4 linked regions of the Xenopus tropicalis genome follow. The protein of the gene in region 2 interacts with the protein of the main gene of each other region in a biochemical or structural test. Links are inferred from orthologs where the notes say so. Each region holds a gene or a part of one and is shown on either strand. Other genes may lie near its edges. The genes, in order: ikbkb, map3k1, map2k4 and mapk1.

Region 1 (7,593 bases), on a different chromosome or scaffold from region 2:
GCCAGTAACTTACTGATTCCAAACTCCATCTGTTCACTGTATTTTTCTAGATCAATCTGGATACTGTTCCGGAAGAAATCCAGTTTGGCCTTTAGCTGCTCAAACTCAGAAGTCATGAGGTTCTTCTTTTTGGAAAGTTCAGTATTGTATCGCAGCAGGTTTACCCTACATAACATAGAGATATGCCCTCAGCACTTATGCATAATACATGGAGAAACACACATCTGCCACACATACTGTCTGTCCCACCCACACGCAGAGCTCTCATACTCACATAAAGGTACGCTGCCCATGAAGCAGACGGGCACAATCCTCTTTCATCGCTCGTATTGTCTGCCAGGTCTGCCCCCACACGCGGCGAAGGTGGGTGTAAGTGAGGGGCCGCTTGGGATCCTGCACTGGAATAGAATTAAGTGCCACAGTGTCACATCACCATCAACAAACCACAAACCTCAGGATTAGACAGATGTATAAACCCTGAAGGCATAGGCAAACGTCTGAGTCCTCAGGCAAGAGGAATATACATATACATGTATATCCCTTGCCATTACAAGCCAAATATCAGTGGCACTCACATATAACGGTGACACTCTCGGGATGTGCCGGCAGTGATATCTGGGGCTCATATACAGTCTTCCGGTTATCAAATAGAAATATCAGATCACCCTCGCCCTGGCGCCCATCATTGACCTGTAGACAAAAGCAAATAAGACACTTATTGATTAAAATAATTCCAGTTTATAGACAACAAAGATATTGGCCTATGACCCTCAAGCAGTTACAACTCCCACCAGCAGCCAGCATCTTATATGGCAAGGTCAGATCTAGAATGCAAGAACAACTGCAGGTGGAATGAACTAGAACAGTTGAGGGTTTTACTACACTTGCTGTACTGAAAGTAATATGAATATTTGAATCTGTATATTGCACTTAAGAGCTGTAATTAAGCAGTGAAACATATGCCTATATGGTCACTCTCTGAAGTCAAAAAGACAATGGTTTTCCTTTCATTAACAGTTCCACCAGATACTGTGACCTGCAAAGAAAGGCTGCTTACAGAAATATAATTTAAAGTTGCATTTTAAGTTGAACCACACTAGCCTTGTGTCACATGACACAAAACATTTTTTTTGCCATATTTGTGCTTTCATAATGTCATTTTGCGGTGAGCATGAGAAGACTCTTACCGTGCAGTCTACCACAAACTGGGTTAGAGGCTGGGCAGGATTAAGGGCCAATCCTGATGCCTGCAATAGTTCCTGCTCTTCCTCAGGAATCCCTGTGTCTTGCTCCAGGCGACTCTTCAGATTCTGCAGGTTTTCATTCTCTGACACCGGGTAAGTGTGCACCTTGCCAGACACCATGTTCAGTACAGACAACAGCTGGGGGGATATATACACATGTACATCAATATATCAGCAATAACATATATGTTTATAAAAACCTGTGATATATATCCTTATAAGTAGTGCTTAGTGAGGTTATCATATATAAATCACCCATAGCCCATTGAAACGTGTATTAAAAAATAAGCAATCCCCTGCTTCAACATTTAGGAACATTAGAAACCACCTTACATGGTCTGTGGTCCTTATATCTTAAGAGAGGGTGTTGTATAAACATATATGCAGGTCTATCCTGTTGGTTCTGGTGCTTTTCTTGAAACTTTGGGGCAGTTCTCTCATCCAGAGTATCTGCCTTCACCTTTTTTGCTGTTTATTGCTGGGTGGTACGTATAGGTTTGATTTTTGTTTTGATATTGTGTACATATCTTATGAATGTTGAATTATTGTTATACAATAATTTTATATAAAGCTTTTCAACTGCAATACCACCTTTGTATGGCTCTTTTTAGTGTGCAACATCTTTATGTGGTTTATATCAATGCCATTTAATTTACCAGACATCTGGTGGATCCTTCACACATTGGGAACTTGCAGGGGACAGAGTAACTTAATTGTATTCATTTAGACCTTGGCCTACCCACTGTATGTAATTGACACTGGAAAGACTGCTTGGGAGGTGTAAAGGCTATGAAGATAGAAGCTGGACCTAACCACTACTAGTCCTGTGAAGTGATGCCTTTACCCCAGGGGTGATTCCTGTGTCTCTGGAATGTATTCAGAGAAAGTACACCCTTATCTTTAACTGATATATGAAAGTAGAGAATGATAAAAAATAAAACCATATATAGAATGACAAGGCTAAAACAGAAAACAAGAAACAGAAGAAAGGACATGACAGCAGACATATTGATTTCCCACCAAAAAATTACAGATTCTGTGTTGTGTTCTTTACTGTAAATGTTGCTTGTACACCCAAAGCTTCATACCGACACTTACCTTAAGGCTTAGGATGGAATCCAAGGCCTGGAAACAACCAACATTAGGGTTCTGTGGATCTGTGCCTCTCTGTCTCTGGTGCCACATTAGCATGCATTGTAGCCAGTGTTCCAACTTGCCAGCCAGCTTGCTAAAACAAAAGAAATATTTAATTCCAATTTATTGCATGTGCAAGTAGCGAACATCTTGAGCTAGACAGCCTGCCACAAACTTGAAACATGGACTAATATGGTCTGACAGTTGTAAGGCTCTGGGATTCATCATAGAGCTAAATTGAAAACCAGTATTTTTGACACCCAATCAAGCCAATGATCATATCACACGGTGAGTCACTCAGACTCATTAAGGTATTGATTAGGCAAACTACAGTCATCTTGCAACCAAGAGCCTCATTGCCATGGATGTTGTCCACAGAATATTCAACTGTGTCAAAATGATATCTGCCCACATTTATGTATCAAACAGTATGTATGGGTATTGTTTTGGGCTCTAACACAAGCCAATGGGCTGGCTCAACTGGGCACTTTAAGACTAGAACAAAACTAAGCTAAACTATAAACATCCAATGAGAATTTTGGTACCTGTTCAGTATGAAACCAAATGAGACTGATTTATCTAGACATGATCAAAAGAAAGTGGTAGACAATTGGCACCCTACAGTAGCAATACATGGCACCGTGACACAGGTATAAACTGAATACTGCTGACAACATGGCTCAACATTTGCCATGGTTTATGTTTTTACATACTCTGAACAAGATAAAAGGTTGGATTGGTTCCCCTCTGCCCTCTCTCTCTCCATCTTTGCACTTTCCTGTTCTCTTTTGCTTTTACATGTATTAAAAGAAGGCTTATGTAATATCTAAAATAGTTACAAAACATCATATTTTCTGATTGTTTGTTTTTAACATAACTTAAAGGGAGCAAAAGAGAAGAAAAAAAAACATAAAGTGTACAGGCAATGGCAGTATTTAGGTAGAAGTGCCTCAATACTGTGTGTATGTGATCAACCCTGGAGGCAAGGACATCGTACCTGTTCAGATGATTGGGTGTTGGTAAGACACTGGAGAACTTTACTGCTCCCATCAGGTCCTCGTATACCACAATGTGCTCATTGCTTTTCTCTCGCACTTTTCCATGCCTAGAGTCCAAAGGAACATACAGGTCACTATTACTTGGAAATACTGTAATTTGGATTACCGTGCCTTAAAGCTACTTGAATCATTTAAACAGGATTAAATAGATTGTAAGCTTAAATTGTAAGCTCTATGGGGCAGGGACATCTTTCCTACTGTGTCTAACACCACACGGCACTTTGTCTCTGTGTATTTATACTTATTTGTTGTACAATTTATAACACTTGTCCTCCCGGTGTGTAATTGTGTATATTGTAAGATTGTACTGCGCTGCGTATCCTTGTAGTGCTTTATAAATAAAGTTATACATAAATACAAATGGGATTATTTTGCCACTAACATCCAGTTTAGTTACCATCAAGTACAATGTACTGTTTTGAAATTACAGATATAATGGAAATCAGTCAAATTACAAGAATTGTTTGCCAAGATAGGACTCTACAAGAAATGGCATTGCTGTATTTTTGGAGCTTTCTGGAGAATGAGTTTCTGAATAACAGACCCCATAGTTGTATCGAAAAAGTAAAAATGTGATCAGAATAATACTAAACAGAATTAGAAAATAAAACTATGATTTAAGGTAAGCAGCATCGCTTAATAGGACTGCTGACTATCACTCTAGAGCAGTTTAATTTTTCCCAACCACATAAAGTGTAAGGGGGTCACTAAAGCTGTTTTGGGGTACCTGCAGTGTTTGGCCACTAGATGGCAGTACTGGGTAAGGTTAAGTTAGGTTAAGTGTCTCACCACTGAACAGGTTGCCAGTTGGGAAGGAAAGGTCGGAATCCTGTTATACATTCAAAGGCTAGTGTCCCAAAACTCCAGTAATCAACAGTCACTGTGTACTTCTTCTGCTCTAGTAATTCTGGGGCCTGTGTAAAGGCAAAGCACAGAACATAAGGATAAGGGTATCAGCAATAAGAAAAAATGAAATGGAAGGAAACTGGCACAACATATTGGTGAGTAGCACAGGAAGGACGTACAAAAAACAAAGGGATTCCATCATGATTTTTCTGGTTTAGTTTTTATTACTATATTACACTGTTCACATTCACTCTACCATTTAAAAATGTATTTTTGAACCAATAAATATATTTTTTTTTTTTTAGCTGTAATGTTGGTGTGTAGGCAGCATCTCAATGCACTGTGCCTGAGTCTGAGCTTTCAGAGATGCCAGCGCTACACATTAGAACTGCTTTCGGATAAGCAATTATTTTTCCCAACTCCCATGTGACTGGAGGAATCATGATCCAGACTTGGATTTTTACTATTGAGTGCTATTCTGATATCTACCACTAGGCGGGAGCATTTTTTAGCAGTTGTCTTGCTCCCTTCCCATTGTGCTGCTAATCGATTGCGGGGGGGGGGGGGGGGGGGATATCACGCAACATGCAGCTCAGCAGTTAAGTATGGCTGAAGTTTATCAGAGCACAGGTCACATGGCTGTGGCACCCTGAGAAATGAAGAATATGGCTAGCCCCATGTGACATTTCAAAATCAAACATAAAAAATGTGTTTGCTCTTTAGAAAAATGGATTTCAAGCTCTATTAACTGATGTGTTTTGATAAAAAACATGGTTTTCCCATAACAGAATCCCTTTAAGCAGGCCATGCACATACAGAAATTGTTGTTAGATACAGTTTTGTGTGATTTGGGACAGACATCCTTGTACCATGGATATTGTTTTTCAAAATATAGGTTTTTCAAAAATTGTAGCTTCAAACAAATTATATTTTCTGTTCATGTACAGTCAGTGTGATGAAAATGGTGGTGAATGGTGTGCCTGATTGGTCCCCGACCAACTGTTCTTGCTTTCAAGCATTATATTTCCAAGAAAGCAGCCTTCATATTAATAATTATTGATCTATATAACAAAGGTTTTGTTGGCCATACATTAATATCTCTGCATGTATGACTACCTTCACATTATGGAAAGCTGATAATGATACGGATAAAAGAGTAGGTGGATAACAGGGCAGAAAAGAGCAGAAGATATTTGAGTGATGGGGTGGGCTGGAAAAAGGAGGCAAGAAAAAGGGTGGCGGACAATAACATTAAAAATAAAGGCACATCTGGGGCAGGAATCGCCAATGTTTGATGTTGCAGAATTCTCTCCCTTTCTGCAGTAGGTGAGTTAATATTGGGAGTTGTAGTTATATGTCACCTGGAATGATGAAGACTGCCCAATCCAGCTCTCGGGGAGCTTCAAGCTGTTGGGCTTCCAAACCACAAGAGGGTGAAGCAGAATATATACAAGGTGCTTACCAAATACTGCAGGGTACCCACAAAGGATGTGCATAGACTCCCCTGATCAAGCTCCTTGGCATATCCCAAATCAATAATTTTATGGATCAGCTGAAAGAGAGAGGAAAGCACAACCATTGCAGGTTAAAGAGCCATATACTTAGTGCTAATGTATTACTCTTAGAACTAACACTGACTCCTGTGTTCTGGTTCTATTATGTACCATTTAAGTGATTGGATACTGTCTGATCTAGCCATTCACAGTTGGACAAACAGCAGTGACCCACAGACTGATCACCCTTATGAGTGGAAATGAGCTACTAAGAACTAGAAGGAAACAGATGCTAGCATTGTCATTCGCAGGAAATATGCTTTTTGTTCAGTGCAAGCAGAAAAGGCTGATTTTATGATGCCATCTCTTTAAACAGGGTGTGTGTGGTGTAAGGGGGGAATGCTAACACAGTGCCTGTACATCAAATATAATCTGTGTAGTGTAATCATCCTCCTATATTCATCCCTCATTCGTCAGCAAAGTGAATAAAGTTTAGCAGCTAAAGTACCTTTGTTAAGTGTCTGAAAAAAAAAACTTTCTATTAAGGCAGGGATCCCCAACCATTTATACCTGTGAGCCACATTCAAATTAAAAAAGTGTAGGGGAGTAACACAAGCATGAAAAATGTTCCTAGGGGTGCAAATAAGAGCTATAAATGGCTATTTGATAGCCCCCTGTGGACTGGCAGCCTACAGGAGGCTCTGTTTGGCAATTACACTGGGTTTTTATGCAACCAAAACTTGCCTCCTAACCAGAAATTCAAAAATAAGCAGCGGCTTTGAGGCCACTGGGAGCAACATCCAAGGGGTTGGGGAGCACCATGTTGCTCACGAGCCACTGGTTGGGGATCACTGCATTAATGAAATAAGATAAAAATAAGTGAATCTGACAGTTTAAAAAAAAACGTTTGTTTGCCTTTGAGTAACGGAGCCATTAAGAGACCAATGTGTACTGAATTCACTTTTGCTGTATTTTTATTCTTTAGCTTCTATAACATTTTTAATGACTATTCAGGCAGATCTGCTCTGTTGAGCCGACACTAGAAACACATGCATTACTTTGTTGTACATTAACTGTAATTATATCCCTTTTTGAGCAGTATATTAGCAGCAATTATATATACAGAGTACATTTAAAAGGTGACACTTACTCTCTGGGGTCCTGGCTGCAGAACAATGTTCTCTGGCTTCAGATCTCTGTGGATTATCCTGTTCTCATGGAGGTATCGAAGGGCAGAGGCTGAGAATTAGAGAAGGATGAAACCTTTAAACCTGGCAAACAGGGCCCTCTAAATCCCCTGTTGTATATCTTAGCTCTTGTTAATGTATTGTAATTAGCAATAATAATAATAATAATAATATTGTTCCCTTGTGCCAAAAAATATAGTAATGGGCTCATGAAGGAAAATAACAGAGCTGGACATTTCTCATTTCGCCTGGGGGGCGCAACCACTGGGGAGTGTTGTACTTACTGGCTAAGGAACACAATTTTGCAGCCCTTAGTAGTCTTGCCCACACAGGTAATCTTGCACAAGGTAAAAGTATTGCAAATATATAATTTAACCTCTTATTATCCTGCCCAGCCTCATCAGAACTGCTACCTCTTCATGTCCCATATATGTAGTTTTTATGCTGCACTGGCATTCACTCATTCACAGGTGGCCTGGGAGTTTTAGCAGCAGACTTTCCAGCACTGGCTGGGAATGAGATATAAGGTGTGCTGATATTATAAGAATAATGATGGCCTTTCATTAGGGATTAGAGTAACTCCTATGTTGCCTTGTCCTTTCTTTATCCACTAAATGAATATATTATCGAC
Region 2 (8,368 bases):
ACAGGGCTGCTGGTTGCGAGAAGTAGTAATGCTTTACTACAATACCACTAAAATTGACTTTATAGTTACATTAATACTGCATTATCCTCAGGTGTATTCACCTTATCCATTGATAACTTAAAGATCTTTAAACCGATTGCACGGTGGGGTTTTAAATAATGTTGTAAACATTTTAAGGCCAACTTCCTGCTTTTTAAGTAACAAAAGAGTAAGCATGTGAACAAGGCCCAAGCAACAATGCAAATACAACTGAACTTGAGGGATTTGAAAACGTGGAAACAGCAATTATTTTGTGAAATCCTAGAGGTCAATAATAATGATTTCAGGTTGCTGTTGGAGTCATATAAACAGCTTTATTGTCTGCAATGTTTTTTCTCCCTCTTCAAAGTCACTTTGAATCAATAGCAGCTGAAAATAAAACATTTTCAGGCTACTGAATGGGTGTGCCCTCTGATATACATCCTGGTGATAGGGTGGGGGTGAGAATGTCAGAGCGCTCAGATACTGTCACCTGAACCACAGACTTGTCGTCTCCAGTTTGGACTGGCTATACATGTCCAGATATGGTAGTGTAGTTTGGCTGATTTCTACCTTATTACCCAAACTGGGCAAATTGAGGGGGTTGTTGTTTTTAGAGATATTGCTGCAATACTGTAGGATTGAGCATCATCTGTTCTGATGGAAAATGTATATTGCTTAGCTGAAAGGAAGTGAGGGGAAGCCACAGATCCTCTTCATTTCCTGTTGTTTCAATAGTTCAGTAATTGGCCAAATCAACGTAACACAAAAAAAAGGTCATTTTATATTATCTGTCCATTCTGCCAACAAGCCGGACTGTCAGTAGGGTACAGGTCAGCTTATACATGCTACCTTAAAGTGGTTGTTCCCCTTTAAATTAACTTCTAGTATGACCAACATTGATATTCTGAGACAATTTGCAACTGTGTTTTGTTTTTTATGCTTTTTCGGTTATTTAGCTTTTTGCTCAGCAGCTCTCCTGTGTTTTTTTAGCAGATATCTGGTTGCTAGGGTCTTCTTTACCTTATTAACCAGGTAGTAGGTTGAATAAGAGACAGGGATATGAATAGTAAATGGACTGAGTAGAAAGATAAGTAATATAAAGTAAGAATACTAATAAAATTGTAAGATCACAGAGCAATAGTGTTTTGGCTGCCGGGGTCAGTGACCCCCATTAGAAAGCTGGAAATATGTAGAGGTGGAAGGTGAATAATTAAACTATAACAAATAAACAATGAAGATCAATTGCAAAGTTGCTACGAATAGAACATTCTATAACATATTAAAAAAGTTAATTTAAAGGTGAACCACCCCTTTAACAACCTTCAGTAACTACTAAATGTGCCTGCAATCCACAAAATAGCAGGTTATATAGAACAACTAGTGTAAGAATTGCAGTGCCCTAATAAAATATATTACAGCAAAACCACCTTCTATTTTTTTACTAAATGTAGCTGCCCTACAGTGCATTCCTGACCGTTCAATCCACATAGCCATGCGTGATATGGGTGAAAACGGTCTAACCAACATTTACCTATGTACTAACAATGACAACACATATAAACCATTTCTCAAAAGAAATTTATTTTCAAGTATAAGCACCTGATGCTACAAAAAGCACTAGGTATAGCTGAGCGCCTTATCTTAGTTACTGGATATATAACCATTTCTAATCTAACAAACAATGGGCTCAACATAATTTTATAAGCTTTTCTATAGTTTCCAAATTGCAGCTGTCCTTTACTGAAACATACACTTATTTACTTGTCGTAACTTGAATATTTATCCAGAACTCAACTGTGAGCAGAGAAAATGATTTAAAGGCAAACAACAATGTAACTTCCTAAACTGAAATGAGGAAAGCAAATTGTACTTTACCATGTATTACTTACTACCAGCCACCAGTTTAGATATTTTATTCTGCACAGAAATAAAACACATTTTTAATATATATATATATATAACATTGCCTTTCAGATATATATATATATATATATATATATATATATATATATATATCAAAGGCAATATATGGCTGTAGCATCTAGTATATCATATAAAAACCTGCATACCCAGCAGAACCAGTTACCTAGCAGAACACAGAGCCAGCAGAAGTTAATATTGCCTTACAGAAATCATATGACTTTGCAGCACAAGGGAGGATTATGGACTTCACTCATTACAGGATAATCTACACTTACCTACAAAGATTGATTTCCATAAATAGTAGGGTTGCCAGAGGCAAAACCACTTCTACAAAGGCTAACTTCCAGTAATTTCACATGGGGGCTCCCACATCCTACCAAAGTGACAGGTAACCCAGGCTGGGAAACACAGGGGGAACAGAGCAGGCATTGTGTGCTACAAATGGAGATGGGAGAAGGGAGAGAAAGCAGCTGACAGGAAGGGAGAGATTCTGCATGACCCCTAGGTTTGCCCAGCGTAATTGCAAATAAAGAGGGGAAAAGAAACACTACTGCCCATTAACTCCAATTGTACCAGACTGCCATACCGTATAGCACTGCATGCACAAGCTAAATCGACCAACATTTCTGTCTTTCACTAAGACTTATTATAGGAAATGCTGCAGAATTAAGCTTCATGTGCCGGAACACAGGAATCTATTTATACATACAGAACATGCATATCTAGAAAGGAGCAAAATCAGATGTCAAAATGGCCCAGAGTGCTACAACACTAGTTCCTTTGGCAGACAAAAGGTGCTATACCCAAATACGCACATATTAATGGAATTACATCCATAAAGTGTAACTGCACGCTACTCGGAGGCAGCTAGAAGCACAGGCACAAGATTGCGATTTCTGAATGTCTCAAAGCAAAAGAAACAGGAAACAAGCACTTTGTCCAGTTCTACATCAGATCATGAGGGATCACCACAACAGCATGACCAATTACAAGCCAATTAGGCTAAAAGACAATGCCAAAGCATCAACGCAGACGTCCAGCCTGCCAAAACCCAACTGTTTTTGGAACTACAACTCCCAGCAATCTCAAACAGCTTAGATAACAGACTATTTTTCCCTATTTAGCCCCATCGTATAAGAGATGTGTGGCCACTCTCCCGGAAGACAATCATGCTCTACTTACTGTTCTTGTGCCACTAAAGCGGATACTGGCAGCTACCAATAAAGGCACCAAAAAAGAATGTATGACGAGTGCATGCCAACACACCAATTCAGCGGTAAAGAAGCAGTTCCAGCAATCTCAGAGGAAACGTTTCATTTCAAGCAACTGACAGCAGCAGAACACACCATGCCCGTCACACAGAATGATGATTGGTAGGCTGGCAAGCTGCACACCTATGCATTCGTTATTGGCACGAAACACTATTGTGGTACTGCTCTTCCTCTAGATGTCAGAGGGATGTCAAGTACTTGCAGTTCAACAAGAGCTGAGGGTGCAGGATGGGCATCCCTTAGGAACACAGTAATATATCTATTATTAAACATTTTCCCACTACAGTGCTCCTGTGATACTGGCAGCCCAGGGCAAATGCCCACTATACGTTACCCTCTAAGTAGCCCCTTGTCAGGCTATAAGCACAACAGAGTCTAACATGAAACACTCCTGATGTAGTTCAACTACAATCCCTACCAGACCATAACAGCTTCCAGGGTGTCTGAAACACAAAACCCCCAAACGCTACTGCCCAGTACAACGTTCAGGATATGTTGAGGGTTATAATTTAACAATTTGGTAAGGACAGGAGAGCCCTGCAGGTACTAAGGCTGCAGGTAAGCAAGTGGCACAGGTGGCAACCGTACACTTGCCAAGCACTAAGTTTAATGCCTATAGGAATGTTCAGGGCAGGCTGGAAGTTGTAGTTCAGTAGCAGCTAAAGAGGTAGTAGATGGGCAGTACGGTGCTGTAAGTGGCACAGGTGGCACACTCCTGCCCAAGCATGGGACACTATGCCCAGGTATTCCCCTCTCACCATGAGCTGTGTGCCGCCGAAGGCTCCTCGGGTTCGCTCCCCGCAGCAGGCTCCTGTTCCCTCACTCCGGCAGCCAATACGTGCGGAGGTTCCGGCTCTCTCCCCGCCAGCTTATCCACTTCCACACTCCGAACTTTGCGCAGCTGCTTGCGCCTCCAGTCGGCTCGCTGCTCGCCCCCTGCCTCCCCCGGAGCCCCTTCTGGAAGTCTTTGCCCCCCTGTCTCCGGGCTACCGGAGCCCGCTACGCCGCCCGCGGCTGCCGTTAATCCAGACGACACGCTCCGACTCCCCGCCGCGGCCGCCATCTTCCTCGGGCCAGGTTTACATCCGTAGCGACAACCCAGCCGAGGGGCGTGTTCAACATGTCCTGGGCGTAGTTAGCCAAGTACGGAATCTGCGTAACCTGAAGCGCTAGTATCGGACAGGTACGCAAACAGCGTAGCCACAAACTAATATATAGCTTACCAAGTATACGTTTCAAAATTCTTTGTGGCATAAGGCGTCGCCGCCTGTCAATAGAAATTACATTTTATCTCGCCACAGCCGTTTACAGATTACCATAACTTTTTCTCCACCGCGTGTTGCTAGCAATGCCGTGGACAAGTGCGGCTTTACGTAGTAGGAGTAAGAACCGAGGTAAAAGGTACAGTATCGGTCGGTCTTACGCAGTTTACGTGTGGGGCGCGTAGTTGGAAGTGGGCGTGACCTGTGATGCTCTCGACTCCCACACAAGGCGGATGTGAGGGGAGGGCACGGAGTTTGAAAACCGTACCTGACAGCTAAGTGCGGGGCACGGCAGCAGTGTGGGGCAGAGGTGTTGGCTCAGTACCTCAGCTTCTAGGGCACTTCATTTGCTCTGGGCTTCAGATTATAATCCTTGGCTATAAAATGCCACAGGTAATAAAGTGAAAATGACATATTTAGCACAGTGAGTAATCTCTGCTGCCTGATAGCCATGTTATGGATGTTTAAGTTATGGCCCAGCCCTGATTATTGGGGCCCCAACTTTCACTTGCAGGGTCCATTTTTTTTCCCTCTGTCTAGTGGCCTTTATGATCATCTTTATGCTTCTATGCTGTTCTAGGAATCAGGAATATTTGTAGATTAAAAAACTAGGGACTGTAGCTGTAGACTTTGTAGCTAGTAATTACATTTCAGTGATCATTCAGTTAATATCTGAGCTATCATCATATTGTTGAATAGGTTTTAGGCCTATGCAGCTCTTCTACCCTAGTATGAGGGTGCTGGCTATGGCAGTGTGACTTTTTTGGGGGGGGACCCCTTTATTACTGTATGGGCCCTTTTAGGTTATCAGAAGGCAAGGTAAGCTATATATGGAAAACTTTCTGGCTTCAAAGTTACTGGATTAAAAGAGAAAGCATATAAAGTACGAAACTAGGTACACTATATACATCAATGATTTTGTTTAATACATACCTTTTACCCCCATAAGATGACCCTTATAGGCAATTATGTTTGAGACATCTTGCTATTACTATAAATCAACCTGCTTTTTTCTGTTTAAAAAAACCTTGTTACATTAACTTACTCAGAAATTTCATATACTGAGTAACAAAGAAAACTGTGAACCAGGGAATTTATTATGATGTAATTGTTAGATTGCCTTCAGATCTGTTCATCAGAATCTTGGGTTACAGCATCCAGGGAACTGGTGACCCCAAGTAATGTATGTGCTGTGGCCAAATTCGCCTGATCATACACATTCAGCAAGTAAGATCAGTTTTTGACTATCCCAAAATATTGCATTAGGTCAAAACTGGCATGTTTATATGTATTTATGGGTCTTCACTGTTTTAGCTAACTGTTGTCAGTATTTATATTGTAGAAACAAATGACACCCAAATGCACATAGATACATACTTATACACATACTAAACAGTACCTAAACATACAGACTGACATACAAACATATGGTAAAACCCTCAAAAATAAAAAAATATTGGTGAACTTTGTATAAAGTACTTACGAAAAAAGCTTTAGCTCCTAGTTGTTGCTCTGTGCTGCAACCAAATTCAACTGCAAAAATCCAAAAAGTAGGAAAAAAGCTTCAGCAGATTTACTGCAAACCATTTGTTGAGTAGTGTTTACCCACAATAAATGGTTTGCAGTAAATCTGCTGAAGCTTTTTTCCTACTTTTTGGATTTTTGTATATGGTAAAACCCTTAAGAAGGGCATACACTGTAAGATCTGTTCATTTGAAGAGATTGCCAAGTGAGCGGATCTTCTCCCGATATGCCAGATGTCGGTTTGGAGGCCCGTCAGTGGTGCCCATACATGGGCAGGTAAGCTGCTGAATCAGTCTATAGGACTGATATCGGCAGCTGAAACTGGCCCGAGTATGGTCCCCTTTACTCCAACACTTCAGGGACACAGAACTGCATGGGAAATTTTGTTGGATGTGGTTGGATTGACAGATTACATTTTATACTGTAGTTGCATATGTTTAAAAATAATGGTCAGTAACTCAATCTGGCCAGTAAACATAATGAAATATTTGCCATTGGATACAACATGACTGTCAGAAGGGAATGCTGCATGGTACATTTTTCTCTGACAAAATAAAATCTGATTCAGTCTAAAAGATTTTTTTATCATTGAAAATACATTGATTGTTGGATGTAGATGTATTAAAAAACAAGAAGCCATCTGATCATATTTTACATTACAACATGGAGCATCAGATTTTGTAGCATCTTGTGCTGTGAACTTGACAAGATCCTGTGGGTCAGATAAAGTCTGCCTTACAAAATCTGATAAAAAAAACCCCCAGTGTAGTCCTGCCTTTATACTCACTCTTTCTCTCAGACAGGCTACAACCACAGACAATCACAAGTAAATCCCTGGGGCCAAAGGGATGGGCATTGTGTGTTTTTGGTCAGGAGACCCTTTTGCCTGCAGCTACAGTGTTTCCTGTTTCAACAGAGACCACAAAAGATAGTGCTTCCTGCCTGGAAATAACTTTTACATTGTTGTCTTTGGGAATCACTTCAGGCAGCTTCTCTGTAAATAACCCACCTAGCTCCGACAAATGGAACTGAGCATGATGTGACATAGTGGTGCTATGATAAATAATAATAATATGCTGGCTCTGGGACTAAGGTTCAAAATAGGCTCTGGCATTTCCAGTACCCAGAGCCCCAAACAGTCTCCACCAGCCCAATAAATAGTGACTGTCTATGGTATCTTACAGCAGCCGCTCTGGCATTTGCCAAAAATCCACAGATTGCCTGTATAGGCCTATAATATTTTTCATATTATATATGTATGGTGTTGTAATGGCCATGCTAAGCAAGCTACCATTTGTCAGTAAATTCATTTACACAGTATTTGAGCATTCAATAACATAGTGATAAAAGAATACACCTGCTGTGCCATCTGAACAACTGCTGAGACAAAATTCTTTCAAATATTGGACCTCTTGGGAGTCGAACAGTTTCTTGCAGCTACTGTTCTGAGAGAAAGCCTTTCTTCTAGCTTATTCCTAAGGACACAAGTGCTGGGGCCATCCTTATAGCGCAGTTTATTTGTTCTTTCTTCCATGCCACAGATGCACCCCATGTCATGACAGCTGCAGCAAGAATCTATTGCTAGGGTACTTGTAGTTATCCTGTGACTTTTATTGAATGTCAGTAGTCTGGTTTCACTAGCTGCTACCTTGTTCCTTTCCTAAATACAGGTATTGGATCCCTTATCCAGAAAGTTCCGAATTCCGGAAAGGCTATCTCCCATAGACTCCATTTTAATCAAAGAATTCACATTTTTGAAAATGATTTCCTTTTTCTCTGTAATAATTAAAAAGTACCTTGTACTTGATCCCAACTAAGATATAATTAATCCTTACTGGAGCCAAAACAACCCTATTGTGTTTATTTAATGTTTAAATTATTTGTTTAATAGACTTAAGGTAGTAGATCCGAATTACATAAAGACCTCTGATCTGGAAAACCCCAGGTCCCGAGCATTCTGGATAATGGGTCCCATACCTGTACTAAGATGGCGATTCATAAGTTTAGAAATTCCATTTCTTATAAATGCTCCTTGTGCATTCTAAGGGGCTGATTTACTTACCCACGAACGGGTCGAAATGAGTCCGATTGCGTTTTTTTCGTAATGATCGGTATTTTGCGATTTTTTCGTATGTTTTGCGATTTTTTCGGATTCTTTACGAATTTTTCGTTACCAATACGATTTTTGCGTAAAAACGCGAGTTTTTCGTATCCATTACGAAAGTTGCGTAAAAAGTTGCGCATTTTTCGTAGCGTTAAAACTTACGCGAAAAGTTGCGCATTTTTCGTAGCGTTAAAACTTAAAAGGTGCAAAGTTTCGCGTAAGTTTTAACGCTATGAAAAAAGCGCAACTTTTTGCGCAAGTTT
Region 3 (8,055 bases), on a different chromosome or scaffold from region 2:
GGGTCCGTCATTGTGTGGTATTGGGGAGACAAGTGGGAGACAGGCCTGGGGTGTGGTGCGAGACAGTACCGGAGAGGGGCAGGTGGGTGTGGCTTGGGGAGACAGTGCGAGGACAGCTGGGCGAGATGCTGTGCAGGTGACAGTGTTGTAGATTCAAGATGGAGAGCGGCAGGAGTGGGGTAGCTGTAGTTGGGTTTCGCTATCAGTGGGAGACAAGGAGGAGAAGGCCCACGAGTCTGGGGATAGCTGACCCCGGCCGGCACAGCCGTGCTTACTGGTGGGAGAACATGGGAATTGAACAGCTGGCTGGGTGCTGGGTGATATAGACATGGCCTGGTTGTTGACAGTGTGAGACAGTGCGCGAGACCGTGGGAGACAGTGGCGCAGACAGTGGCCGAGACAAGGACTGGCGGGTGCTGGGGGAACATTAAGACAGTGGCGAGCACGAGATAACTAGGGAGAGCGCAGCCGCTGGGCAGGTTGCATGAAACGTGTGACTTGTGGGAGACAGTTGGGAGACAGTGCTGGGTGCTGCTAGATGCACAGGAACCAGAAGATGAGACAGTGGAGTGACCGTGGCAAGATTACCGGGAACAGTCAGACTGGCCGCACGCACTTTTCTGGGGTGCTCTGTGGTTTGAAAGAGAAGGACTAGGTTAACAGACATTTATGGTAGTGGAGTGAACAGAGTTCTGGTCCGGTGTTAAGGTACGGCAATCATTATTACAAAGCGGTGGTGGTACAGTTTGGAAAGGCGACATGTTGGTGTATCCACACGGTTCGCATTGTGTTTCCCTCGACATTTCAAAAAAATTGGGTGGAGTCTAGGAGGCTACAGATGCTCAGAAATAGAACCTGCCTGTGTCAGGACAGCCTGGGAGACCAAAAGTGTGCTGGAAGGGGCTTCTGTCTTTCTTGTCTGTTTGTGGGGTGATTACAGTGCCCAGTCTCCACCGTCGACAGTAGGGGCCATGACACTGGGCTGGCGATTGACGTGCTGGGAGCCCCATTGTTGCGATCAGTAACATTTTAATGGGTGATCTAGATGTCAGGACCATACAGTTGGTAGTACAGGCGTGGCGAGTTAGGTGCTTGGGATGTACTCGCAGTCTGTCACGCTAGTGACAAGTGGAGAGACAGCGCTAGGGAGTAGGCTGCAAGAAAGCTCGGACGACGTCGAGGTAGACAGCGACTATGTCGTGAGTGAATGCTGAGAGAAATAGACAGTAGGGAGAGCTAGTGGGTAGATCAGGCTGGGATGACTTGGTGAGACCAGTGCGCTGGAGATTAAGAGGAAAAAGATGATCGAGAGCTGTTGGGTCAGTATGCTGTGTAGTATATAAACAAGATGAGTTTTTACCTACATTTGCGATGATTAGGCGAGTTCAAGCTTAATCAATGAGCAATGAAGTACAAGAGATCTATGTGGTGTGGAGGTTGAGATAATTGCTGTGTACTACATTTTGTGATGTGTACAAAGGTAAAAGAGTAAAGTAGCACTCCAAGGGCGCGAAATGTTTAGTTAGGTTATCAGGCCTGAGCGCAGGTGCCTGCTCGATATGATTGTACAGTCGAGGCAGTGCACATGCAGGTATTGCGAGGCGCAGGCAATGGGCATATTTAAATGGTCCCGCTGGTGGGTAGAGCCGCTGATGAGAGCGATGATTCCCAGGGCATACTACGAGAGGGGCTGGTGCGAGAACCGCGAGAGTAGGGAGGTCTGAGGTCGGCGGGTCGCATCGCGTGGGATTCCCAGCCGCGACATCTAGTGGCGAGTGATAGAGGTGCGCGAGAGCCAGTATCACTAGCTGGGCCCCGGAACATGATCAGTGGGAGGGATCAGAGTGATGAGGGTGCAGCTGATGCTGCGCTGGACTGGCCCACAGGTTCTGCTGCGGTGATCAGTGGGAGACAGTAAGAGACAACCGAGGCGCAGGCTGTCGGGTGCTGCCCGGTATGACTATGTGGGTAGTTGGGGACAGTGCGAGCACAGGCCTTGGAGGTTTCAAGTGGGCCTATGTTAGGTGTGTGGGCCGTGATTGCTGCTGCCCAGTTATTGTGGTAGTGGGGACTAGAGATAGACGTATTTAGACCCTTAATATCTTGTTACAGGAGGGTGGAATACACAACATTATAGAAACCCATTAGAAAAGCCAGTCTTGGCCTGAAATAAATGCTGTATTAGTATTCCCTGGGAAACTGAAATTTACCCCTCAGGAAATGCCCCCGAAAAGTGAAATTGGCTAAACCCTGCGGGTAAAAAGGTCCTGTCGCTATGTGGACTCGGTGTTATGATGGCACAGACAACTTTACTAACCAGCTTAAAGGGCTCAAATTCATTATAATAAATGGGTCGGAAAATGATCAAAATTCTGAAACTGTCTGTTTAAAAACATTCACAATAAATGGATGATTTCACTTTTGTGAATTCCCCGCTAGGTTGGCGTGCTCAGGAGCTTAGCCGGACAACACAGCAGGGAGCAATTAGTCCCAGCACTTAACTGAGAGCTCTTCCACAAGAGGCCCCGCCTATGCTCCCAAACGTTCTATGCCGATTCGTTGCATAGGAGGCGGGGTGTGGAGCGATTCGTTCATTGGAGGCGGGGGCTGTGACGCCCAGCGCGGTGGGATTGTGGGAAGTGTGGTGCTTGGTCTCAGTGGGTGCGTTTCTGCATATGTCAGCGCTTTCATTTTTGGTAGTTGAATATTATTAACAATTGGTCGGACTTCAACCCCAGTATACATGGCTGGTCAGCAGGTCGGTCACAGTTTGCGTGGCCTTCGTGTTTCTGCCAAGGTGCAGGTTCTCGCAAAACGCACTGCGTCATAACCAGCATGCAGGGATAAGGGCGGCCCTAAAGCTCTAGTCCTCTGTATCTTCTTCTATTTGTGCTGCCAGGTGCTGGGTGACGCTGCGACCGAGACAGTGTCAGACAGTCGCGCGAAGACAGGGCTGGGGGCTCGTGCTGCGGTGACAGTGGGTAGACACCAGACGTGGTCCAACCCAGGCTAGACGCGCACCCGGCTGGGGTGCGTGGGGTGACAGTGCCGGGACAGTGGGAGACAGGCTGGGGGTGCTGGGTGGACAGTGCGAGCACAGGTCTTGGGTGGTTGCTGGGTCTCCCCACTGGTCTGCCCACTTCAACCCAGCACCCCCGAGGCCTGTCGCCCACTGCAACCCAGCACCAGCTGTCTCCCGTGCATCAGTGGGGAGTACACGAGTCGAGAGCAATGACGAGGTCTCTGCGCGCCGCTCTAGCTGACGGCGCCACAGTGGGTGGACAGTTGGGAGATCAGGTCTGGGGGTGCTTGGGGTGACAGTGGGTGACAGTGGAGACAGGCGGCGGGTGCTGGGTGACAGTGGGAAACAGTGGGCATTGGAGACAGCTGGGGTGCCGGAGAGTGGGTGACAGGCGAGACACGCTGAGGATGTGCTGCCCCAGTGGTGACAGTGGAGACAGGGCTGGGTGCGTGGTGACAGTGTCGTGTGCAGCCACTGCTCTCCCAAACTGTCACCACGCCGAGCACCCCCAGCCCACGTAGGGCCTGTCTCCACTGTCACGCGAGCACGCAGACAGAGCGCTCTGGGTCTCCCGAACTTGTCAGCCCATGCTGGCTTTCCCCGAGGAGCCACACGCCTTGCCAGCCTGTCTCCCACTGACCACGCCACCTCAAGCACCCCCAGGCCTCCACTGCAACCCAACGTCGCACCCAAGCACCGGCTGACAGCTGGGACGCCACAGGCAATGGGGTGGTTGCTGCCTGTCTCCAATCCGTACCCACTGGTTCTTCGAAGCACCCCCAGCCTGGGCCGTTGACAGTGGGAGACAGGCTGGGGGTGCTGGGTGACAGTGGGAGACAGTGGGAGACAGGCTGGGGGTGCTGGGAGACAGTGGGTGACAGTGGGAGACAGGCTGGGGTGCTGGGTGACAGTGGGAGACAGTGGGAGACAGGCTGGGGGTGCTGGGTGACAGTGGGAGACAGAGGAGAGGACAGGCTGGGGGTGCTGGGTGACAGTGGGAGACAGGCTGGGGGTGCTGGGTGACAGTGGGAGACAGGCTGGGGGTGCTGGGTGACAGTGGGAGACAGGCTGGGGGTGCTGGGTGACAGTGGGAGACAGGCTGGGGGTGCTGGGAGACAATGAGAGATACAGAGGGCTGGGGCTGGGGGGCCGCTTACCCTGCATGCTGTTGACGGTGCTGTGTTGCTGAGACTGCCCTTGGAGCCCGAGGCCCGCACTGGTACCGCTGCTGCCGCTGTTACTGGGGTTGGAAGTCGCCATTGTTAATATATTCGCTACCAAATGAAGGCTGCAATGCAGCAACCCCCACTGAGCCTGCCCCCTTCCCACAATCCCCCGCGCTGGCGTCACAGCCCCGCCTCCAAATGACGTCTCCACCACCCCGCCTCCTATGCAACGATCGGCATGACGCTGGGAGCATAGGCGGGGCCTCTTGTGGAGAAAGTCTAGTAGTGCTGGGACTATTGCTCTGCTGTGTGTCCGGCTACTCCTGTGCAGCGCCACCTAGCGGGGAATTCACAAAAGTGAATCTCCATTTTTGTGAATGTCTTTTAAACAGACAGTTTTCAGATTTTGTCATTTTCCCGACATTTTTTTAATGAATTTGCCTTTAGCTGTTAGTAAATCTGTCTGTGCCATCAAACCCAGTCCCACAGCGACAGGAGCCTTTTACCCGCAGGCTTTGCCATTTCACTTTGGGGCATTTCCTGAGGGGTAATTTCAGTTTGCCCAGGGAAACTATACAGCATTTATTTCAGGCCAAGCTGGGCTTTCTAATGGTTTCTATATGTCTGTGTAATTCCCCTTTTGTAACAAGATTTAAGGGTCTAAATACCGTCTTCTCTAGCCCCTACTCATAACTGGGCAGCAGCAATCCGGCCCCACACCAACATGGCCACTGAATAGGGGCCCAACAGGACTAGGGCCCACTGGGTATCTATCCAGCGCCCTGTTGGGCCAGTCCAGCCCTGCACCCCAATATCCCAGTTTGGGGGCCAGTGTGTATGTGCCACCAAGATGGCGGCTGGGAACAGGTGGGGGCCAATGCTGTCAGGCAGCTCTGTAGTTCTGGGCATGCTATGGGGGCACAGATAAGTTGGGGCAAATGTCAGTGAAGTGATTAAAGAGGAGGCACTGCTGCTAAAACTAAACATTTGCCTGGGAGGCTTTACTTTTCCTTTAAATAAAAATGTATACAATATATTCACACAAAATGTTATTATTGCCTCATTGATTAAGCTGAAACTCCCATAATCATGCAAATGTGAGGTAAAAACTTTTTATATATAAGATATAAATTCAACTTTTTTTAATCAGTGGTTTACTTGTTTATAAAATGTTAATGAGGCTTTTTGCCCCTATTGTTCTAGGGTGAGACAGAAACTTGCCCCCTAACAATAGGCTGCTAATCCCCATTAATATGTTACTGATCCCACAATGGGGCTCCTACCAGAGCTGTGAGATGGAGACTGGGGGAAACCAAACAAAATAGAAGAGCTTAGAATTGGTCTGACAGAGTTACACTGAGCTTTACTCCATTTTGAAAATGTCGAGGAAAAATGTCGGGAAAAATGTCGTCAAAACGTTGTATAAATGTCGTTTAAACGACAAATTCACAAAAGTGTCTGTAAACTGTCTTTCTTTCACCAAAAACAGAAAAGTGGTGGTTGAGTCGGAATTTAGGCGGATTTCTGTTTGTGAATCTGGAGAAAGTGTTTTGGGGTTCAGTTAGCGGGGTCATTCATTCTGTGGGGGGAAAACAGGCATCAATTCTGGCCCCTATTTACAGCAAGAGCTGTGCCGGCGGGTTATGGGGCTCTGAAGAACAACTACTTTCATTAAAACGTTGATTGGCAACAAAGTCCTCAAATACCAACTGGATAACAAGATAGAATTCTATCTGGAGATATGGGGCACCTGGGTACTAACCAGAGAGCATCTCTCTCGGGCACAAGTCTATGGGTAGGGCCCCCTCACCTCGGGCTATCATAGGGTACAATATGGGGTCACTCAATGGCTTTAATATCTCCTCCTTCAGCAATATGTAAGCACCCAAAGTGGGTTAGAGCGCCATTTTGTTCTACTGTTTTTCCTTTCCGGTTACCCCCACATACCATGTGACAAGTATTTATGGACCAACAGTTACTGAACTAATGAAAAAATATAAAAAGTTTTTAAAAAGTTGATTGGAGAGGGGAACAGATATAAAGGAAGCCATAGGCTGCTCGGCTAAAGTGACCGGCCTAAAGAGAAATGGTGCAACGTTTTGTGAACTGATGATTGTTCTATTTGGGTGCAGGGTATGGGGGTGTCTCATACTGATACAGATATATACTCCAGCAATTACATGATCTGGGGGCACTTGCAGTAAGGGGATATTTCATCTTAAGAACTGCCCCATGGGGCCCCTATTTCCAATGGGCAGTTGGCAAAGAGCGGCTCCTTTAAGAGAGTGTGCGTGATGCTTACAGCCAATGAATGAGTCAGGGCATTGCAATGTTCCACTGAGGCAATTAGAGCTACCAGGCACATAGCACTAATCCCATTGGCCGTTAGAAGACCATTACGCAAATAGAGCCAAAGTAGAACCCCACGCTGCACCGACTTACTGGGTGCAACTCCGCCCATCGGCCCAAGACCACAGTGGTGCAAATGGCTGAGTTTCCTGCTGCAGTGGGACACACAAGCCCCCTGGCTACATGCCCTATTGGCTGATGGGAGGAGCCAGAATCAATTAGACAAATGACAACTTAGAGTTTATTACATATTATTTATTTTTTAAAATATAAAGCTTACATATTTACATACAGGGAGACCTAAAAACAGACCCCCTCCAATATAGGCATCCAATATTTAGAATTGACATACTCTGCCCCCTCATTGCCCAGACACACCCCTGCATACCCGCCATTATGTACTGGATATGGTTTGTGCAATAGACTGTATGATCCAGGGCATAAACGGGCAACAGGCACCCTCACCCCCTGGTTACCCCTCCATGGTGCATGTACAGCCACTCACCAGCCCCTTCCTCAGCTGACTGATCTGAGGAACAGACAAGCGCAAGCACGAGGAGGCTTCGGAGTATGTCTGCACCGCCGAGCAGGTTATTTCCTTCTCTAAGAAAACTCCAGCACGGTACCACCTGCGCAGCCGCCAGAGGGAGCTGGAGGGTATGTGGCACATCAAGGGTGTGGGTATTGTAGTAATCCCTGTATAACGTACATACTGACTGTTGTCCTTCCCTCATAGGCCCCACCCCAGTGAAGATGGTCCGACCCAAACTAAGAAACCCAAAGACCCCACTTCTCCCAGTGATGGTGCCTCATTCTCCTGCTTTTGCTCTGAAGAACAGAGTGCGCCTTCCAGCGCAGGAAGAGAAGGTGAGGAGCCGGGACACTGGGCCCCATTGGCCACTATTAGGGGAGCCTACAGCTCTGTACTGGGGGTGCTATTGCTGGGACTGGCATCTGTGGGTATGGGGGGGGGGAGACGGAAAGCCTGGTGTCTGTACTGACTTTGTGCATTTCTGTTCCTGGCAGGAAGAGGAGATGCCAGTTATTAAAGCCACACCAATGCCTCACTACGGCATCCCTTTCAGGCCAAAACTTGTACAAAGACAAGTTAAGGTCCCCATACACGGTAAGATCCGCTCATTTTGCAAGATCGCCAAGCGAGCGGATCTTCCTCCGATATCCCCACCTACGGGTCGGTGATATCGGGGAGCTCGAAGTTAAAAAAAAAAGAAATCCGGATTATATAGGCGGCAATGTATCAGTCGGTTCTGGGACCGCATCAACGAGCCGATGCGGCCCCCGAACCGACTGAATCTTTTAACCTGGCCGATCGATATCTGCCCAATTTCAGGCCAAATATCGGTCGGCCAGTCTGCTCGTTTCTGCCCCTACACGGGGAGATAAGCTGCCGAGTCGGTCCAAGGGACGAATATCGGCAGCTATTATCGGCCCGTGTATGGGGGCCTTTAAAGTCTGTCCATTTTCCTTCTATGAGCAGGACAAAGAGGCTTCTGCGAA
Region 4 (8,388 bases), about 37 Mb from region 2:
CTTGTCCTTGATCTTTAGTGTAATTGTCTCACTTCACCTTCTGGCCCTGCCTCTCTGACACTGATTGCCAACCACAAGCATGAGCAGGACCAGAGTAGCTTTAACTGCACTTGCTCCTATTGGATGACCATTGCCAGGGAGCCATGGAAAACATGAATTGGCCAGACATTGCACACTGCACTACTCTACCTTTACTGACCAGCTACGGGGAAGTTTAGCCGTACTTGGGAATGTAGATGCTCCAGTTTGGCAGAGGATTCTAAGTTAATGGCACCAAGGCTGTAGAATGCAGAACTCCTATAATAAAATTATGATTAAAGTTATATTATAATTATTTTTTTTAATATTTTTAGGCAGCATGGGTTAGCAGTAGGACTAGCACCTTTTAAAAAAAAAAAAAAAAAAATACCAGCCTTTCATATTTTTATGTTTCTTTCATATTAATAACACTGCCATCAAGCACTATTTTTACAAAAGTGGCAACCCTAGTAAGCAAAAGTGTCCAGATTTCTCCAATAATATATATATAACCTCTAACCACCTGCCAATGAGCGATACCTGGAGCAATTCACTGCAAGTCTGCCAACAGCCCTGTGTGAGCACATTACTTTCTTAAATGGTAGGTAAGCAAATTTCACACAGCAGATTACAGATAAGCCTCAGGTGCCAACAACGTAGATTGTATTTTATCTTAAACTTGTGACCAGTAGGTTAGAGCAGCCCAGCTAGGGTTGTCACATTTGCTGGGCTTTAAGGGCTCTGGTACACGGGGAGATTAGTCGCCCGCGGCAAAACTCCCTGCTCGCGGGCGACTAATCTCCCCGAGTTGCCTTCCCTCTGCCATCCCACCGGCGAACATGTAAGTCGCCGGCGGGATGGCAGACGCGGCGGCGCGATTTCGCGCAAATCGCCGAAAAAGACTCGCGAGGCTTTTTCGGCGATTTCCCGAAATCGCCTCGCCGCGTCTGCCATCCCGCCGGCGACTTACATGTTCGCCGGTGGGATGGCAGAGGGAAGGCAACTCGGGGAGATTAGTCGCCCGCGAGCAGGGAGTTTTGCCGCGGGCGACTAATCTCCCCGTGTACCAGAGCCCTAAACCTAGGCAAAGGTGCGGTGGACCTCTAACATCAGGAGGCTTGTGTGCTGACGTTGCCAGCATAAGCAATGATGTTGATTATGGAATAATGATGCTAAAAAGGACACAGCTATTTCCCGAAGTCGCCTCTCAAGGAAACTTTGGGCAACTTCAGGAAATCGTAGCGTCATCGCAGCATGCCAACCCACAGGCGATTTACATTGTTCCCGGTGGGATGGCATTGCAGTAACGAAGATTTGTTGCGGGGCGACTAATCTCCCCATGTGCTACTGCCCTTAGTTATGATGGGTCCAAGTGCTCATGCCCCAGACCTTCAGCTTAGGGAGCCATTAGAAAATTCACATTAGAAATGCAGGCAGGCACTCTGGATCACCAAAAAAACGTTTTAAGGCAGCTCAATTCAGAGTAAAAACATTCTTAGTTTATTATGTCCATACAGAATGCCAAGAATGTTTTAACTCTGAATTGAGCTGCCTTGAAACGTTTTATTTGGTGATCCAGAGTGCCTGCCTGCATTTCTAATGTAAACTGAATTCAGTTATGAAATAATGATGTCAGAGGCAGTATTCTGGCCAGTGTAATGACAGGGGTGGCATTATTACCTTAGAAACAATCTGGTGGATTTCCATGCTCATCGGATGTATGGCAACCCTACGCCCAGCATGGTCTACAATAAATTCATCAGTTCACCCTTCTGGGTTCTTCCCTTTATTCAGGTTTACATTATGGCTTGGCAAATACATCTTGTTTTTTGAATCAGTGTTGGACTGGAGTGCCAAAGACCAGAAAACCTTAGCAAGCAGGTCCTTTCATATTATCATCATTTGTCCTTCCCTCATTTCTTCTCTTTGTTCTCATTTAGAAATAGGAAATCCCATGGCCTGTGTCCCACATTAGGGTTGCCACATTAACAGGAAAAAAATACCACTCTTCCTATATAGTTTTCTTTTTTCGTTGTTAATAACATTGGGATTAAGCATCATTTTTACTGACCAGGCTGGTAAGATACCAGCAATATGGCATCCCTAGCCCACAGGGAGTTTTCAAAGCTGTCACCTTAGGCTGATGCCACACGTGGCGTTTTTAGGCTGCATATTTTCTCAGCCTAAAAATGCTGCACAAGCCACACAGCCCCTGACTATGGCGTTTTTCAGCCTAGTACTGGTGACGTAGCAAATCCCGTTTCCTTGGTGCTAATAGTGCGAAATAGTAAAAAATGCTGCGTATTTCCGCTAGGTCTGGCAGCTGCCTTTGTGTATACATAGGAATAGCTTGCTTTGCAAATACTGGCGTATTTCGGCCAACACTTGAAAAATCCGTGCTAAGGCGTTTTCAAGCGTATTTACGCTTTGTGTGGTTTGCTTCACGTCTTTTCAAGTTATTTCTATGGATGATGATATCGGGCGTTTTTCAGCCGCTGAGAAAATTAGAAAATACGCAGCGCAAAAACGCCTCGTGTGGCATCAGCCTTACTACTGGCATGGCCAGGGGACTCTATGGCACACGCATTGTGTGGCGTGGCCAAATGTGGATTCCCAGTGACATCACTGCGCATGCACTGACATTACTGGGTGCTTAATCTGCATGTACAAGCAGAAAGCTCACTACACATGCACATTTTTTTTTTAAATGGGTGATTACCACAGGTTTCCAGGAGGATATGGGGTACAAGTTCCTGAATCAGGTAACACTGGGGAAAACTTGGAGAGTTCACAGCTTTGTTTCCCTGATATCCTGGTTGACCAGTCTGACACTGCTTTAGATTATAAAATGTTTTTCTGTAACTAAGAGCGTTTTTTAAGGTAACTAGAGATGGCTAGACATGGAAGACCCTGATAATTTTGCTAAACGTACTAGATCCCATGTCAGTAAACTCTGGGCACTCCTGAAATATGCTATGTACCTATGTAAACAACGGTTTCAGTATACACAGGCGCCAGGTAACATTGGCAGCTCCTTACAGGCCAATAGGATAAAAAAAATATTTTATTGTATGAAGCAGGACTGTTTCCATGGGGTTTTATACTGTTTTGCTGTACAGTATGTACAATAACGTAACCCCACATTCTGTAATTACCAATTACAAGAACGCAACTATTACTGAAAAATATTGCAGATCATTTCCCATGGCAGCAAAGACGCGTCCAATCAACACCAGAGAAGACGCTACAGCCGCCGTACTGCGATCGATGCGTTCAGTCTAGGCAGGAAGCGCTTGGCGAGAGACGTCAAAAGACCTCTAATTCTGCTGTCAGGATCCGTATTGAAGTTTTATTTTCTAGCTTCTGCCGGACTACACTTCCCAGCAGCCTCCAGTATAATCGATCATTTTCTAAAGCGGGAATAAATCAGTAACCGGGAAGCCGTAAATCAAACACACCCTGTGAAAACAGAGAGTTTAGCAAAGAAAAAAAAAAAAAAAGCAGAGCCGTACGAGTCCACGCCCACTGCAGCAAAGCGTGAGGGGAGTTGCGCCTTTCCAAGGCCCTGCCCGTAGTTCCGCCCCACACACACCCAGCGGGCGGGAAGGCGTTAGCTCGGCAGCGCCTCACACAGCGTACGACTGAGCCAGTGCAGCGAGCCTGGGGCGCCGCCTCGTCATCCGCTCTGTCGCTCCCCACCAGAGAGGCAGCCACACCCACGGAGGCGCAGACGGACCGAGCCGTGTAATACCCACAGCAGCTCCGGAGAAACTCTCCCCGACGCATTAAATCAAGCAAAACATGGCAGCGGCAGGGGCCTCGTCTAACCCCGGCGGGGGGCCGGAGATGGTGCGAGGGCAGGCGTTCGACGTAGGCCCGCGATATACCAACCTGTCATATATCGGGGAGGGAGCGTACGGCATGGTTTGGTAAGTGCATGGGGTACGGGCGGATCTCCTTCTAATCCTAGTCATGGCCTTTTCCTTCTTCAGGCCTGTGCGTGTTGGGATCTGTCCCGGCCCTCTCCAGCTTGTGCAGCCACCTCCCCACGCACTGCCACTGCTCCACTAGGGACTGCGTGCTCTCGGCTCCCGGCTGCCAGCTCCGGCCTTTCTGCCGCTTCAACTCGGCATTTGTTCGCTAATATTTCTTTCCCATTATTTAGTGTTGGGAATTGTGTTGCACCTGCACCCAGCAATCCCGTCATAGCCAGCAATCATTTTGCATGCAGCACTGGTGCACATTAGGGTATTGCTTTCCCCCAAATGCAGATTTGTGCTTCCTTTCCCTGTAGTTGGATTATTGCGCCTTCCAGGCTTTCTTTGCTGTGTTGGTAACCTTTGTAAAGCTGAATTAGAGAATCATCCCCGCAATGTACCCTTAAACCCACCCATACAGCCTGTTACAGTTTTAGTTAATGAAATAGGAATGTATAATGTTTGACCCATCAGGGCTTGATGAACTAATTACTCCTGCATCCACTGACAGCCAGGGCTTTGGGAATTGTTCTTGGAGAACAGATGGAGGCCATGTTGTACTTGCATTTAATACTGTATGCGTGCAAGATATTTAAGATACAATGCTGTGGGCGTATTTATAACTTGTTATGAGTTAGAGGTTTGCACCATTGCAGTTAGTCCTGTTTGAAATATGCTCAAAAGTTAAGTTCAAGAAGTAAGGTTAAAAAGGCAATTTGACATTTGTATATTGTTGTATTTTATCAGTATTGTTGTATTTTATCAGTTATTTATGTTTGTTTCCTTTTTCCCAGTGTCGTGCAGGTTCTTACATTATCCCCATCCCATATATATGCTGTAGCACCAGAGTGTAGGACAAATGCGCTCACAGCCCTAAACAGCACATAGTTTAGTTTACTACTGTCTCATTGGTCTGCTAGTCTATAAACTTAGAACTGTGTTCATTGTAACTTTATGGACTTTTTATAAGTACAGTAAAAGTGGGAGTATTGTTTTTTTTTTTTTTGTAAACCAAGATAGACATCCATATCCTGTGCGACACAAGCCAAAGGTGACTTTTATATTAACTTCTCATTTTCAGTTTAATAACCAGTGTTTAGCTATACCTAGGGCCAACCTACATTCCGTGTGGGAACAGTTTTTCTAAATGGCATTGCGTAATCTCCTCAGATCACAGCACTTTTCAGTATAAATCTGCTAAAATGATGGTTCCATTGTGTTGTGTGGGAAGGCATTGGCCGACTCTAAAGTGACAAGTGCCAGCCCTCCTCCACAGTGATTCTTTTAATTCAGTTTTTCATATCAGAGCCTAAATGCACAGAGATATGCAGTTTGGACATAAGCAGGACACTGTGCCTCAGTCCAGCTAGAAATATAGATTAGAATGTGTGTCCTTGGTACATGGGTGACATCAATTTTATTGTAGATATAATTTGCTGTATTAATATTATCAGGTTTCATTATGTTTTAGGAGCTTGAACAGGCCCAAATATCTCCAAGGTTTAAAATCTTACATTTTCAGGCATGCAGTACAAGAGATTAAAGGGGTACACTGGCAGATTTAAGCTGCCAAGGTGGGCAGGTTTGACCTTAGGGCCTGATAATTGAATTAGCCCTATATTGCCCACCTAAGGTGGGCAAATCGGGGGAAGATCCGCTCGTTCAGCGACCTCACCAAATGGGCGGATCTCTACATGCCTAGCCACCTTAACATAGGGTTGCACACCACTTTTACTTGATTGTTACTGCTTGTATAGTTGTTGATCAATGAATTATTAAAGGGTGCACATATTGTCAAGAACAGACTTTTGCTGTTCCACTATGTAAGAAATGAACCTTTTAAAATTTGTCTTTCTCACTGCTAAAGTATTCCCAAAAACCTTACAAGCATGACCCAGGTGTTCACTTCTGGCTGGCTGCTTCCTCTGGTTGTGCAGGAGAGCCAGAAATACTCAGCACTTTGCATTGTAGAGTGCCAGCCAATCCCAGTCTAGTGGTCTTCAGTTATCCGCTCCCCTAGCTGTAGGCACAGGGTGGTAAACTTGAGCCTCTCTTCCTCTGTGGTGAGTTGTTGGACCTATTTTAGAATCTTGCTATTTGTCCAGTGGACCTGACTGGGAACTGCATATTACCTTTCCCTGTGTTAAGAGAAGAGATAGGATTGGCTACCCACATCCACACGGGGAAGTGAATTAGAACAGCTTTACGCTAAAATTTTCTGACTAACCAACTTGTATCCATGACTTATAGCTATGGCTTGTAATTGATGGGCCGCTATATGCATACCATTAATTGTAAGATATTATTGATATGCTTTTTGCCAGATTTATCCAGTTACTGAATTTTTTAATAAAAGGAAGCTGATGGTGCCATCATGGCAGATTTGCTTCTGTTCTGGCTCACTGACTTCAATTCCAAACATAGGTATAACAGCCTAATAGGCTCTGCCCATTGGACTCTATAATGCAGAGACACAATCATATACCGTAATGCAGAAAAGCAGCAGATCTGCCAAGATGGCTGTGACAAAAATAAGGCTATTTGCCAAGGGGCCTCTCTTGTCAACACCGGGAAAATTTGTACCGGTGCAGTAATCCAAACTTGAAGCGTATGTACACCCATACCTTCCCGTGGACAGTTAGGCTTAGTGCTCAATGATAGAGGCATTGGCACCCTCGCAATTCAGCCATAAGAAAATTTACTGGCACACAGAACTTATCCAAGCAGGGTGAACAGTTTTTAATGCAGAAGTGCATCATTTTGGGGCCATGCCCCTTTGTCAAGCAAATGGCAATTTTCCTCCATCTATAGGTAGAACAATTGAAGCCAATATGTTATTGGTAGCCATTGGTTAATACCAAGGTGCACATTCGCCCAGGTCCTACCTTTCACTGCAAAGTGCTAACTTGGGTCACCAGGGGTACCTTACAAAAGGTTCGCTACATTACAGCCTTTCCTTGTCCTTTAAGTAATAGTGAACTACACAAAACTAAATTATTTTGCAAAAAATATGTAAATTGCCATAACCTGACATGGTAGTATCTCTAATGTTAAGCATGAAAGGTTTATGGCCAGTGCCACACGTGACATATTTTGGGCCTGTAGAGAACCATAAGTCATGAATATGCTCCTAATAGCTAATTGCGTCAGCCCAAGTGCAGGCGCACACAGCTGATTTCAGTGCCAAAATGCATACTTATGCAGTTCCACTATTTTGTATATTTTATAGCCCTTTAAAGGACCGTGTATGAATATGTATATCTTAAGGGCACTGGTACACTGTAATGTGATAAAACACCTGGAATTTTTGCTAGTGCAAAATGTAATACAGTGGGTCCACACCCACTGGTGATCATCATTATATCTATGCAGACCGCTTAGAAGAAAACCCCATCAGCATACTGCCCCAGCCAAGCAGAATCTTCTGCCTGATCTTTTTATTGGATATGACTGTGGGAAAGCCCTATGAATTGTCTAAAATGCCTCCACACACAGTGTGCAGCTTTTAAAGTTTTTACCTTCATATGGCCAGCTTAAGGGCCAGGGCACACTAAGCAGATCCACTCCATTTTCCCTCAATTAAGACTTGAAAAAAAATATATATATATATTCAGTTGTCTTTTGTCCTTAGTTGCCCTTTAAAATTTTGTGTATTATGTTAAGCCCTAGACTGATTAGTTTCCAAAATTGGAACCACACCTATAACTGAGAAATAATTGTCAAGTACAGATACAAACATGTATGTGTACAGCATACCAAAAAAAAAAAACATGAAAAGTTAAAAAAAACAAAAAAAAACTCACACAGCCTTCCATGTAAGTACACTCACAAATATCATAGCTACAGTGGGAATTTTTTCTTCTCTTAATAGTAAAGCTGGCCATACATGCACCAATATTATTGTGCGAAACAAGGTTTTGGTGATATTCGGTGCGTGTATGGTGGATCGACAAGACAGCCATTATCTGAAAAGTTTCTTATACCAGTCATCTTGTTGATCTGGCGGGACAAAAGATTTTGATGTTGTTGAGCAAAATCTGCGTTTAGGGTTGAATCATTAGTTAGAGGTTGAATCTCTATTGTTTTTACCTCCATATTTGACTATTCAGCCCTGAATGTCAGTGAAGGGTGGGAACTATTTTCCCTGTGACATAGGAAAGATTGTAATTGTAAGGTGTATGGCCACCTTAAGAGTTCCTTGACTTTAAAGGATAAGAAAAGTTAAAATCATGGTTGGGGTGGTTTGGCGATTGTTAGGGGATTATAGCTTATCCCTCCATGGTGCTCATACAGAAGTACCCCAGGCTAGTGCAGTCTTCTGCTAATAGGAGACTGGGGTATGTCTATATGAGTGCCGGGAAAGATCATCATGTTCTAGAGCAGGGATCTCTAA

The links.
Region 1: of the proteins of map3k1 (region 2) and ikbkb, one has a biochemical effect on the other in vitro, tested with the Homo sapiens proteins (3 studies listed by BioGRID and IntAct). The link is inferred for Xenopus tropicalis from reciprocal best matches to the Homo sapiens genes MAP3K1 and IKBKB.
Region 3: of the proteins of map3k1 (region 2) and map2k4, one has a biochemical effect on the other in vitro, tested with the Homo sapiens proteins (7 studies listed by BioGRID and IntAct, with this or other methods). The link is inferred for Xenopus tropicalis from reciprocal best matches to the Homo sapiens genes MAP3K1 and MAP2K4.
Region 4: of the proteins of map3k1 (region 2) and mapk1, one has a biochemical effect on the other in vitro, tested with the Homo sapiens proteins (3 studies listed by BioGRID). The link is inferred for Xenopus tropicalis from reciprocal best matches to the Homo sapiens genes MAP3K1 and MAPK1.

Annotation. Positions count from the first base shown.
Region 1 is NC_030679.2:130,598,896-130,606,488, reverse strand, and holds part of ikbkb (inhibitor of nuclear factor kappa-B kinase subunit beta), read right to left. Parts: intron 7,015-7,593; coding exon 6,926-7,014; intron 5,835-6,925; coding exon 5,745-5,834; intron 4,351-5,744; coding exon 4,226-4,350; intron 3,484-4,225; coding exon 3,376-3,483; intron 2,473-3,375; coding exon 2,343-2,472; intron 1,383-2,342; coding exon 1,188-1,382; intron 691-1,187; coding exon 576-690; intron 399-575; coding exon 275-398; intron 166-274; coding exon 14-165; intron 1-13.
Region 2 is NC_030677.2:190,957,215-190,965,582, forward strand, and holds the start of map3k1 (mitogen-activated protein kinase kinase kinase 1), read right to left. Parts: upstream 4,558-8,368; 5' UTR 4,279-4,557; coding exon 3,974-4,278; intron 2,255-3,973; exon of another isoform or gene 2,240-2,254; coding exon of another isoform or gene 2,220-2,239; intron 1-2,219. UniProt on the Homo sapiens protein: Component of a protein kinase signal transduction cascade. Activates the ERK and JNK kinase pathways by phosphorylation of MAP2K1 and MAP2K4. May phosphorylate the MAPK8/JNK1 kinase.
Region 3 is NC_030686.2:46,929,928-46,937,982, reverse strand, and holds the start of map2k4 (dual specificity mitogen-activated protein kinase kinase 4), read right to left. Parts: upstream 4,207-8,055; 5' UTR 4,187-4,206; coding exon 4,180-4,186; intron 1-4,179. UniProt on the Homo sapiens protein: Dual specificity protein kinase which acts as an essential component of the MAP kinase signal transduction pathway. Essential component of the stress-activated protein kinase/c-Jun N-terminal kinase (SAP/JNK) signaling pathway.
Region 4 is NC_030677.2:154,008,816-154,017,203, forward strand, and holds the start of mapk1 (mitogen-activated protein kinase 1), read left to right. Parts: upstream 1-3,758; 5' UTR 3,759-3,819; coding exon 3,820-3,947; intron 3,948-8,388. UniProt on the Homo sapiens protein: Serine/threonine kinase which acts as an essential component of the MAP kinase signal transduction pathway. MAPK1/ERK2 and MAPK3/ERK1 are the 2 MAPKs which play an important role in the MAPK/ERK cascade.